Linked DNA regions of Diceros bicornis minor. The protein of the gene in region 1 interacts with the protein of each later gene in a pairwise test. Links are inferred from orthologs where the notes say so. Each region holds a gene or a part of one and is shown on either strand. Other genes may lie near its edges.

Evidence for each region. The genes of interacting proteins can lie anywhere in the genome.
Region 2: the proteins of HOMEZ (region 1) and DNTTIP1 interact in binary tests that used the Homo sapiens proteins (3 or more experiments, as listed by UniProt). The two-hybrid records come from large-scale screens. The link is inferred for Diceros bicornis minor from reciprocal best matches to the Homo sapiens genes HOMEZ and DNTTIP1.
Region 3: the proteins of HOMEZ (region 1) and SMYD1 interact in binary tests that used the Homo sapiens proteins (3 or more experiments, as listed by UniProt). The link is inferred for Diceros bicornis minor from reciprocal best matches to the Homo sapiens genes HOMEZ and SMYD1.

What each region holds. Positions count from the first base shown.
Region 1 is NC_080744.1:24,541,013-24,545,109, forward strand, and holds the start of HOMEZ (homeobox and leucine zipper protein Homez), read left to right. Parts: upstream 1-1,217; 5' UTR 1,218-1,359; coding exon 1,360-1,399; intron 1,400-4,097. UniProt on the Homo sapiens protein: May function as a transcriptional regulator.
Region 2 is NC_080758.1:15,553,943-15,558,039, forward strand, and holds the start of DNTTIP1 (deoxynucleotidyltransferase terminal-interacting protein 1), read right to left. Parts: upstream 2,913-4,097; 5' UTR 2,906-2,912; coding exon 2,801-2,905; intron 2,227-2,800; coding exon 2,156-2,226; intron 1,234-2,155; coding exon 1,137-1,233; intron 1-1,136. Other genes in the region: WFDC3 (WAP four-disulfide core domain protein 3), read left to right, coding at 3,088-3,134. UniProt on the Homo sapiens protein: Increases DNTT terminal deoxynucleotidyltransferase activity (in vitro). Also acts as a transcriptional regulator, binding to the consensus sequence 5'-GNTGCATG-3' following an AT-tract.
Region 3 is NC_080751.1:3,157,182-3,161,278, reverse strand, and holds the start of SMYD1 (histone-lysine N-methyltransferase SMYD1), read left to right. Parts: upstream 1-1,142; 5' UTR 1,143-4,097. UniProt on the Homo sapiens protein: Methylates histone H3 at 'Lys-4' (H3K4me), seems able to perform both mono-, di-, and trimethylation. Acts as a transcriptional repressor. Essential for cardiomyocyte differentiation and cardiac morphogenesis.

The DNA of each region.
Region 1 (4,097 bases):
CTAGTCGTTTGAAGGACGTGGGGCTGGCTCTTAGGAGTTGAGATTGTTACTAAATGTAATGAAGGAGAGTGGAGGCGGGGGAAATACAGGGCCAGCAACAGAAAATAGGGCTCAGTGCTGAAGCAGATATAATATTTCTGATGTCTGGCAACCCTGAAAGAGCTCTAGACCATAAAGCCAAGCGATGAAGACTCAGAAGTAGCCGTTATGGTGGTTGGCTTTTGGGAGATACATGGGGAGGGGTGAAGTCTGCGAAATACAGGACAAAGTCTGAAATTGTTTTATAAATTATTGTAAGTATATAAGCTATTAAGTGACCTAATAAGCAAGAAGAGACTTTTTCAAGGACCAGCATGGGAACAGAAGAGTCACTTCAGAAAGTATTGTTCCGAAGTTTTAGTCAGAAGACTGAGAATCCTAAATAGACAAACTTTTGGCCCAGAACTTCGGAGTGTGTGGAATTCTGCTTTGGTGAAAGATCCATTTTATTGTCATCCCTTCCTTGACAGCGAAAACCAAGGTCCCCAGATACGAGGCAGAGCTCCAGGTTCTCTTTACTAGGGCAGAGAGGGGGGCCTGGCGGTCTGGTAGGTCGCAACCAGCTGATCCCTCCAGCACTTCGTTTTTGAGAACACCTGTCCGATGCCAGCTGGACCCGGGAAGGGGCCAAAGGTGCCGGGCTGCTAGGATCCTCGTCTTTCCGGGTGGCAAGACATTTGATCCCTCAGCAACAAGTTCCCGGTTGCTCTAGGCGCTTCGTTTTCAGTGACGCTGCTGACGCCGTTGGGCCCTCGGCCGGGAAGGCGCGGCTCGAGTGTAAGGCTGGCAAGGGGATGCTCAAACCGTCTTCCTCCAAGACGAAACAAATGGGGAGTAGTTGTAGGCGGTCTGGACAGTTCAGCAAACTGCCGTGAATTCCTTGGGGAATTCCGGGAGGAACATAGCTCAGTGTACTCCGAAGGTCCGGCGCCGATAGGTCGAGGGTGGGGGGAAGTACCATTCGCGGCACCCTGGCCCCGGGGGACAGCTTCCCTGCCCCACGCAGCCAATAGCCAACTTCAGCAGAGACCCACGCAGCCAATGGCCGGCCCAGTGCGTTCCGCGGTGCCCGCCTGCCCGCGCCCACCAATCGGGACTCGGGCCACCTTGGCACCGCCCCCGGGGCCCGCCCCACCCATCCGCCCCGCCTCCAACTCGCTGGAGCAGGGCTGGGCTAGCCGGCGCGCTCTCGGTGGCGGGGGGGGCAGTCCCGGTCCCGGCCCTCCGCACGGGTGGGCTCGGAGCAGGCCGCACCGGGCGGGAACCCCACTCCCACCCCGGAGGCCCTCCTGCCCTTTCTCCCCCTTCCCCCCGCGGCCCATGGTGCGAGGCTGGGAGCCGCCGCCCGGGCCGGACCGCGGTGAGTGATCCCCAGCCCCTGCGACTTCCCCTCCCAGCCCCTGTACGATCTCCGACCTCCGGAGCCCCATCCCCGCGCTGGGGGGAGGAGAATTCTAGGTTCGAAGTCGCCCGGTTTTCCCTTCTCCTCTGGACTTTTCGGTTCCCTGTTGTAACTGGGGGAGGGCGAGTGGGTGTGTAGGGAGGAGGGGAAGGCTGGGTGGGACGCCCTTGGCGAGGGGAGAATTGAGATTCGCCTGCTCCCTGGGGCTCATCGCCCCAAGTGCAGCAACTTTTTGTTCTCTGACCCAGTTTGGAGCCTTCTAGACTGCCTGTGAAATGGTGGATAGGAGAAACGTTTCCTTCCCAGCCCTCCCCCCCACGACTACCTCCTGGTGACCTCAACACACGTACAGAAACCTGGCCTTAATTCTGGGGAGCAGTGGCCTTTGGGAATGAAAGGTTTAGGAGAAACTGCCCCTTCTGACCCCCTACCCAGCCATACTCAGAAAACCAACCAGGAAAGTGAGAACCCCAGTCCTCAGAGGTTCCTGGTGTTGCGTCCTAGTCTGAGACTTCTAAACTGAAAGAAGACTCAAGCTGAGACCTGTGTGGTAATGTGGGCCCTGATCAGATCTTGTATCATATGAACCTCCTCCTCACCATACATTTGAAGTCCTTTTATATTATATGATTAAGATAGGTAGATGGCAGTAACTGAAAAAACCAAAACAGCCAGTTCAAGTTGGGAATTTTTTAAATGATGCAAATAAATATCAAGCATTGTCATTAAAAGTACGTTCATTTCACCAATCTTTTGGGGTAGTGTCCAGGCGTGTTCTTTGTGTAAGTCTGCTGGTTGGAGTTCCCAATTGCCTTTCTAGTATAAACTACACAAGCAAATCTCAAATCTGGCTGCACCCTGAGAACTTTTTAAAACTACTGATGCCTGGGCCCCAGTCCAGACTAATTAAGTCAGAAAGAGTAGGAGGATGCCTGGGTTTAAGTTTCCCAGGTAATTCTAATGTGCAGTCTTGCCGCTCATCACCTATGATTACCAGGTGTGGTTTCTTTAAAGTGGAGTGAGAATTTAAACACTTTTAAGGCAATCTGAATGCAGAATACTTTTGAGATTTTTAAGTCACCTTAAAAAATCTTTTACAGTTGTCTTACCTACTCTCAACAATTTTTAAAATGTACACTCTTTTGTATTGTCTTTCCAAAGCATTTGACTTTGTTTTCATAGGAAAAGTTTTTAATGCACTAATTTTTCATAGGTTTATGTGATGTTTAATTACATTATTATATAAATACAGAAAAACAACGGGCATAACCAGGTTTGGAATCACACACAGCTGGCCCAGGCACACAGGGCAGCTGAAGGAAACAGATGATTTTGGCACACTTAGAGAGAAGCCTCCCCGGCTCTGGTGTCCAGTGCACTGTGGGTAGTGGTCATGTAATCCAGTGGGTCAGTTAAGCCAGGCTCCTGGCCTGGTTGAACACTCCTCCCTTCCACTCTCTCCAGCTAATATCACCAATACCCAGTCCCTTCTAGGCTTATTCAAATTCTCTTGAGTCTTCCATCCACTCTTTCCATCCCAGTTCATCCCAGAACTTTTTGTTCTTCTTTAAGCAGTTACCACCATTGCCTTTATTAAGTTTTGAGGACATAACACAACACAGAGGTTCTTAACTTGGGCTTCTGGGCAGCCAGTGAACCCCCTGAGATTATATATGTAATGTGTAACTGTGGATGTTTATTGGGGGGGGGAGGTAGTCATAACTTTCTAAGGTGCTTTTATCTGATTCTCAAAGAGGTTCATGATCCAAAAAGTTAAGAAGCACATCAGTTGAAAATCACTAAAAGTCCTTTAACGCCCTTACAACTGTATCACCAAAACACATTTCAGGCCTTCTTCAGTTCTCTGAATAAGATTTAGGGGATTTAGCAGGATCATATCTAGTGTCCCACTCAAACTTTCTCCTGCTTTAATCATAAGCCTAGGCTCAAGCCTAAAGTTCCAAATACCCATTTTTCTAGGATTGTGTGAACACCTAGATAAGTTTAAGGCAGCCCATTCTTTTCTGCCATCTGCCCAGGAGTATGGAAAGCCCAAAGGGAAAGAAGTGTTTTATCCTGGCTCTTTATTTTTAATTAGTGACTTTAAGTAGCAGTAGGACATATCTGGCATATTTAATAAGGATACAAATTTAGTAATTGCTCAGACTTGATAATCCCACCACCCCTGCCACCACCTCTGCCCACCACCTCTTTCTCCAGCTTTGATTCCCTTCTTTTCCTGCCCTCACCAAATGGAGGCACAAGAACACAAGACACTGTAGTGTCTTCACTGTGGTTTTGATTACCATAACGTCTACCCTACTTGTTAGAGTTCTCATGAGCCACTCTCTGGTTGTAGTTTCTTCCTAATTCAAAGCCAGATTCTTCCAGCGAGGTACCAGCTATATAGCTGTGCCTTGATTTAAGCCACCATTCTATATCAAAAAGTCTTCCACAACTTGTGTTTTGTGTAATTGGAAAACTGTGGATATATATAGTACACCAAATATGATGTTTGCATTACTGCACGTTACATTGAAATATCAAGCTGATCCCATGAGAATCTGAGGGATCACAAACCACATGAATGAAAGCAAAAATGCCTCCTGTAGGCTTCTCACTGCCTGCCTTATGTTCTGGTTTGGCAGTCTTCATC
Region 2 (4,097 bases), on another chromosome or scaffold:
GCAATTCAATTTTTACAGCTTCCCAGGGCAAATAACCTGGGAATCGTTTACTTCTTTTTCTTTTACCCTGCCCATGAGAATCACTGGCAAATCTTCTTGCTGCCTTTGAAATACATACAGATACTCTTTCCCAACATCTTTACTACTAACACCCAAGCCACCTAATAGGCCTCCTGCGGTCAGAGTCACCCTTTAAAAATGTTCCGATCTGCTCAAAACTCTCCAAGAGCCCCTATTTTACCCATAATAAAACCCAAAGTCCTTACCATGGCTCCAAAGGTTCTGCATGAGCTGGGCCCTTGTTACATCTCTGATCACCTCTCCCACCACTTTCCTTCTTGCTCAGTGGGCTCCAGCCCCAGTAGCCACTTTGTTGCTTTGAATGTGCCAAGCACACTCCAGCCTCAGGGCCTTTGCCCTTGTTCTCTCCGCCTGGACTGCTCTTCCCCCAGGTATCTGCCTGCCTTGTTCTTTCCTTACTTTATTCAGGTCTCTGCTCAAATATCCTCTTATCAGAGGGCTTTCCTAGCCGCAATCTATAAAATAATACCCTGTTCCCCACTGGTCACTCTCTTCCTCTTCTCTCTGGCATTCCCTAACACAGTACATATTTGTTTAAAGAGGTCAAGGATATTGTTCATTTTGTTCACAGCTACACCTCCAGTGCCTAGAACAGTGCCTGCCATTATGGTAGGCACTCAGCAAATACTTCTTGAATGAATAAATAAACACAAGAGGAGGAGGTTTACAAAGAAAAACAGTTTAGTTCTGAAAATGCTGGGTTTGAAGCAACCATGGGACATTCAGGTAAAGCCATGTAGAAGTTTATTTAGAGGCCTAGAAAAGAATTTTAAATAACAGTAATAATGGTGATATTATTAAACAAGTAATAAAAGTAGTTGCTATGTTCCAAGCACAGTGCTGAGTACATTAAGTCACTTCATCCTCACGATAGCTGAGCAAAAAAAGAGGCATTCAAATTACCCCCAAAGAGGGCAAAAAGTTCTCAGGGGTTCAGAATTGGAAAACTTTAGACATCTCTGCATACTAGAGAGACCCGGGGAGACTGTGATGCCGGAAAAGACTGCCCATGAGTTTTTCTCCGTGTTAATTTTTTATCTTTGTGTCCCTCTCACCTTCATATACTTGTTGAAGACAGTCTGGATCTCCTCATTGATGCTAGGCTGCAAGACAGCTCGGAGGAGGTCCATGGAGATGGAAGGATCTGTGAAACTGCATTCAGGAAGGAGACACAGTCAGGAGGCATGTCCCAAACATATCCTTTTCTAGTCTGCCTAGCCAATTATTGATATAGGATCCTTAATGACAATAGATAGCTTTTACTGAAAACTAGCTATGTGCCCAAGTTGTGTGCAAACTACACAGATGCATGACTTTATTGCATTCTCATAATAACTCTATGAAATGGATAAGGCATTTTATGAACTATAATACTTACACGAAAAGTCTATACACCTTTATATATATATATATACTTTTTTTTTTTGCTGAGGAAGATTTGCCCTGAGCTGACATCTGTTGCCAATCCTCCTCTTTTTTTGCTTGAGGAAGATTAGCCCTGAGCTAACATCTGTGCCACTATTCCTCTATTTTGTATGTGGGTCACTGTCACAGCAATGCTGATGAGTGGTGTATGTCTGTGCCTGGGATCCGAACCTGCGAACCCAGGCCGCCGAAGCAGAACTTAACCACTATGCCACAGGGCCGGCTCCAACCAACACTTTTAATGAACATCCATTTAATCACTACCCAGGTCAAGAAACATAATCAGCATCCCAAAGGTCCGTCTTGTGCTCTCTCCCTTCTCTGCAATGGATGCTACTATCAGCCTCACTTTTTTCTTAACCTCCACCCTATTCTGCCTCTCTAGAGCCCTCAACCACGGAGCCAGTGAGTGTCAGGAATCTTAAGCATCGTTTAATTCAACCCTCTCCCTCATTTTGTTCATGAGTTCAGAGAGGGAAGGGATTTGCTCCAAGTCACACATAGAGTTACAGAATCTGAGACTCCTCTCTCTTAGTCCAGTGCTCTTTCTACTGGCTGACGATCTCTTCTCAGCCCTGTGCAGCGGCGACCCCAAACTGCCATCCAAGCCAGTGCCTGGGAGGTAAGTCCCACCCACGGCGAGCCTTACCTTGTCGTCATCTGTGAGCGGCGGCCCCTTCGCTGCACCTGCCGGTGCTTTATCATTATGTTCCAAGGGTTCTGTGGGGACCAAGGGAGATGTCACTGAGGCCCGTGACACTGGGGTGGGGGTGGAGGGTGGATATGAAGTTAAACCTAGACATCCCTGCTTCTCAGCTGCTTTCACCACCTCTCCCACCGTAGGGCAGGCGGGAGGGCGGTGGTTGGAAGGCCCTGCCAGGGACGAGGAACCGACGAAAAGTTTTTTGCTTCTCAAGTCCCAACCCCACTTTTTCAGGAAGGGCTGGAGGACGGGAACCAGTGTTACCGAGGGCCTACTCTGTGGGAGACGACGTGCTGGGCGCTCTACCCGCATTTATATCCCATCCCCACAACTTTATGAGGCTGGCACTGATCATCTCCATTTTATAAAAGAGGACACTGGAGCTCGGGGGTTGACAGGACCGGCCCACGTCACCTAGCCAGCAGGGCGGCACCAGAATTTGAATTCAGGTCGTCGGACCGCGAAAACACCAACCCCCTCGGCAGCACCAGCCGCCGCGTTCTCTCGCCCGCGGGCCGGGGTCTCGGGAGCCCGAGGCCCCGCCCGGCCCGAGCCTAGCCCCGGCCCTGGCCTCCCCGGGGGCGCCCTCACCGTGAGAACCAGCTGCCCCGCTGCGCCCGCGTCTCCCAGCTCGGGGCCGCCCCGCTCTGCCCCACCAGGTCCCCGCGGCTGCTCGGCGTCGCCAGTGGCCCCCATGGCGCCCCCGACCCCCACAACTTCAGCCCGACTCTGCCACCGGCCGGAAAGTGGCCCCGTGACGTCATTGGAGCGCGCCGGCCGCCCGCCCGGAAGCGCGACGCCGTGAGCTGCGGAGCTACTGTGGTGGGAACCGCCGCGTCTCGCTGGGGGCCAGGACGCTTAGAGGTCTCGTGTGTGGGATGCTAGGGGTTTCCTCCCGGGAGGGGCCGCGTCTCGGGTGTGGACTGTGAGTGTTCAGTCAACGATCGTTCTTCGGCTGGGCCAAGGCCGGTGGAGAAGTGCGGGGCAGGAGGAGAGCGGGTTTCCATGGGCTGGGGTTGGAGAGTAGAGGGGAGCGTTTCGTACAGCAGCGCCTGCAGTTCAGTCTTTGAAAACTGTAGATTTTAGTATGCCCGGCACTCAGCCCCCAGAATTGGAGTGGGCCTAATGCGGGGACCCAGAAACCCAACAAGAGGGGGTGTGACCCGTGCCATCCCAGACACTCATCCGCCGGGTGTCTCTAGGCCTTGACCCCAGGGCCACCCCTAGCGTCTGAAGGCATCAGAATGAAGGTTGGGACTTGGACCGTGGATTCCCTCAGCCCCAGGGAGCTGGGCTTGTCTCCCCAGATGGGTGATTCAGGGATGAGCTGGGGATGCAGGGGTTTAACAGCTGTGGAGTTCCCAGAGCTCCCCTTAGCTCTTAGAGGTAAGACATCCCTGAATAGAATTAGAGCGATTTATGGGTGGTAGAGAAAGTTACTGTCGACAGGGGAAAGAATCACTGCAATTTAAATAGGAGATATTTATTTGGGCAATTAGAATTGCAATTTGGGAAACACAGATTCAGGTAGAAACCCAAAATGTGCTCCGGAGAAGACAGAGAAGGCCAGGAGTTATAAAGACAAAAAGAGATAAGTCACGCAGGTTGTTTTGCAAGACTTGTGATTGCTGCTGGCAACAGCTGTTATTTCTTTGTTACACGTGATTGGCTGCTAAGGCCATCTCTAAGGCAAAAAGTTCTTATTTAGGGGAGTAAGGATTTTTCTTAAAGGAAGGTCAAGATAACAACAGGAGGTACAGTTCAAAAATTACATTCCAACTGGTTAGAGATGTGTTGTACCTGCGTAAGCCCCACTTCCTTAATGGCCTCCCAGTTCTATTTTAGAGGCCCCGACATATGTTACTCCTTTTTTTGTTATGCCATCCAC
Region 3 (4,097 bases), on another chromosome or scaffold:
CTGGAATCTCCCAACTCAGACCTCTCTCCTTGACTAGGTGTCCTTCGACTTGAGCTGTGTCCGTTTTTCTCCCTTTCTCACCACCTTTATCCATACACACAAAGGAAATAGACTGGATGGCTATTAAAATTATAAACAATGGAAAAAGTTTCCATCTTCTTGGAGCAGAAAAGGGCTCAGCTACAGAAACATTATTGTGAAGGTCTGTAGAGCTCAAGTCTATGATCTTTTCTTTCTTTCTTTTTTTTTTGTGTGTGAAGAAGATTGGTCCTGAGCTAACATCTGCCAATCCTCCTGTTTTTGCTGAGGAAGACTGGCCCTGGGCTAACATCCATGCCCGTCTTCCTCCACTTTATATGGGACACCTGCTACAGCATGGCCTGACAAGCGGTACATTGGTGCGCAGCTGGGATCTGAACCTGCAAACCCCGGGCCGCCACAGCAGAGCTCGTAGACTTAACCACTTATGCCACTGGGCCGGCCCCACAAGTCTGTGATCTTAACCACTACCCACGTTGTCACATGGTTATGTCCACTCTGGCCCCTAGTTTGATCTCTCAGGAAATGCAGAATGAATCTACTTCCATACTTCAATGTCTGAGATTGAAGAAAACTCGCATGTCCTTCCTGAATCTTTTCTTCTTTGGCTGAACATCCCCAGTAGGGCAATAAGAAATCCTTTCAAAGCTCTAGATGTACTTTTCTTGATGTCAAGACTAGCAGTTCTCAATGGAGGCAGTTCCACCACCTAGGGGGCATTTTAGAAATGTGGGGGAACTTTTGGTTGTCACAATGATTGTTGGGTGCTACTGGCATATTGTGGGCAGGGCCAGGGCCACCAAGAAGGATTTGGATACCTGTGGAAAAAAAAAACGGAGGCGGGGGTGTGCAACAAGGGCAGACAGGCAAAAAACTTTTACATAGGATTTTTATTAATTTGCAGTGTAGCAGGGCTCTGTGCCCCCATCCTCATCACCAGCCTGATAATTAGTGCCACCATCCCCTGTCTCATTGATCCTTACCAGAGATGCTAGATGTCCTAGAAAGCAAGGGACAGCCTTATACATTGAAGAATCTCTGCTCATCCCGCACAGCCTCAAATATCCAGATGTGCATTTCAGGTATGTGAAAACCTTGTTTATGATGATCTGAGTCTAGAACTCTGTCTTATATGTAATCATAAAATAGTTTTTGTAAAGTTTTAATATACTGTAAGTTTTTCAGAAATGCAACTTGTTAACTGAAGGAAGATTATACTTTCTTTCAATCAGAACTTGACTAAGAGTTATTTGATGTTTCAGAAAATCATATCACACACAACAATGTCCTGTGTGGTATCTGTGCCCCCAAATCAACCTACATTTACAGCTCTCACTAGCACAGTGATTCTGCTGAGAGGAGCAAACATCTGACCACTTTATCATGTTTTCTAGAGTAGTTGTGCCCAAGCATATGCATAGTGAACACACTGACATATTTAATTTACAGTGCATATATATTATTTTATTATAAGTTAACTTTCATTTTATTTCTCCCTTATTAGGTTAGGTTAGTGTCTTAGACCATTCAGGCAGTAACAAAATACCACAGACTCGGTAGCTTATAAACAACGGAAATTTAGTTCTCACACTTCTGGAAGCTGGAAGTCCTAGATCACAGTGCCAGCACGGTCTGATGAAGGCCCTTTTCTGTGTCGCAGACTTCTTGTTGTATCCTCACATGGTGGCAGAGAAGGGCCTAGTGATCTCTCTGGAGCGTCTTCTATAAGGCACTAATCCCATTCATGAGGATTCCACCATCATAATTTAAGCACCTTCCAAAGGCCTCACCTACTAATACCATCACCTTTGGGGATGAGGATTTCAACATAGGAATTTTGGGGAGGACGTGAACATTTAGACCATAGGAGTTAGTAATTTATGTTTTTTAGTTATGAGCTAGTGAATTATGTATGAATTTCATTTCAGAGTAGCAAAAGGGATGTTATATAATATTTACTATAATGAGAGATAAGTATAGTACTTTATGTGTTAGCTTCCTATTGCTGCTATAACATGTTATCACAAACTTAGTGGCTTAAAATAACACAAATTTATTATCTTACAGTTTGGCCCTTTCCTCCATCTTCAAAGCCAGCAATATAACATCTTCAAGTGTCTCTCTGACTCTTACCCTCTTGCTTCCATTGTCATATCTCCTTCTCTGACTCTGACCTCTCTGCCTTCCTCTAGTAAGGATTCTTGTGGTTTCTTTGAGCCCACTCAGATAATCCAGGGTAATCTTCCCATCTCAAGATCCTTAACTTAATCACATTCACAAAGTCCCTTTTGCCATGTAAGGTAACATTCACACGTCTGGAGATTAGGACCTGGACATCTTTGGGGGCCATTATTCTGTCCACCACACGTTAATAATGTAATACTTGTTGGTCTGATAAGGTTGAGACTCGCAAATATAACTAAAGCACTGGGCTTGATGCTCCCTCTCTCTTTCTGTTCTTGGGGCAGGTAGATTTCTTCCTTGACCTTGGCTTTCACTGGACCTGTTCCAGGGGTACAGTGTCTGGAGAAGAACAGCCTAATCCCTGCCAGGCTGAGCTGCTGGCCCTTGAGGGAAGGCTCTGGTTATTGCAAGGCCTTGAGTTTCCAGGCACTGTGGGTCCAGGCATTCATTTGAAGCTAACCTGGATTAAAGAACTCCTTTTTTTTCTTGGGAGCATGTAATGTTTACTTTTGGGGGCACCCAACTTTAAATGTCTTAAGTTGTTTTGCTCTTTGGGATACATCAGAAGTCACCGAGATATTCTCCAGCTCTAGGGGCTTTGTGTTCTTACCTAAAAATCAGGATACACAGTCTGACGAAGGATTTTCCATCTGCTTCCAAGAGTCAGAGAAGTTTTAGGAGATGCAGTTTGGTTGAAGACAGAATTTCTAGCACATCTTGATAGTTCAGGGAAGATAATGTGATAGAATAAATAAAATATAATAAAATAGTTATCGTTTAATGAGTTCTTTATGAAGTGCCAAGCATGTGCTGTGTCCTTTATACCTATTATCTCGTTCGACCCTTACAGCAATCCAGGGAGGTAGAAGTGATCGCCCTTGTTTTACAGGTTCTAATTCAAAGTCATAGTGGTGGGCTCAGAATTCATATGCAGATCTATCTGGCCCAGAAGCCAGTGCTTGTGAACTCCTACACTCACAGAGATCCAGGGCACCGGGTTCTTGTAAATAGATGTATCCCCAACACTAAAAATGTTGCTTGGAAGATAAGCCAGAGCTCCAGATCTGCAGGAGTTTTTTCAGCTTCAGTGAGAGCTGCCTGGCGTGAAGAATGGTGGCATTTAGTTTGGTGGGGATTTTAGAATTGTCTCTCCAATGTCCTCACTCCTGGGTAAGAAGAAGGACAGAGCACATTGGTATTTTCCTGGCAACAAATACATGTTTAAGGGAGATTTGATACAAAGATAGAAATGGGGATTTTTATTTTCAAGGCCTGCCTTCTGTCTCTACCAGTCTGCCTCCAGCACACCTGCATCCTCAGTGATGCCAAGAGCAGGGAACTCTCAGACGTCCATACCCTGGGTGGGGTCCTGGGGGAGCCCCAGATAGTGTTGGAGAGGAGGAATGCCCCTTGGAGCCTAAATAGTACTGTTATGTAATATGCCAAAGGGGTCAGTTTAGCGTCTGCTGCTCTCTGCGAACAGTCCACCCATGGGAGAGGGAACTGGGGGACAAGGGGCCCATCTCACTTGACAAAGTGCGAGCCTGACTGCTGAAGGATTGCAGAGCAGCACACATCACCTTACCTCTTCTCTTGGACCATTTCAGCTGTCTGCTTTGGATTGACAGAGGCATCTGGCTGCTAAAAATACCCTACTGACCAAGTAAGCGCTCCCTATTCCAACTACAGCTGAGCACAACTGCCATCCAGGACTGAGATTCTTCTTGCAAAGAAACTCTTCAGAAGTGTTCAGGCCCAATCCCAGAACCACACCAGCCCATGGTCATTTTCTGCTCTGTCAGCTTTGCTGGATGATGAATGAGACCCTTCCCAGATCACCGTGCCCTTGCCTGCCCCATCCCTGCCTCTAGGAA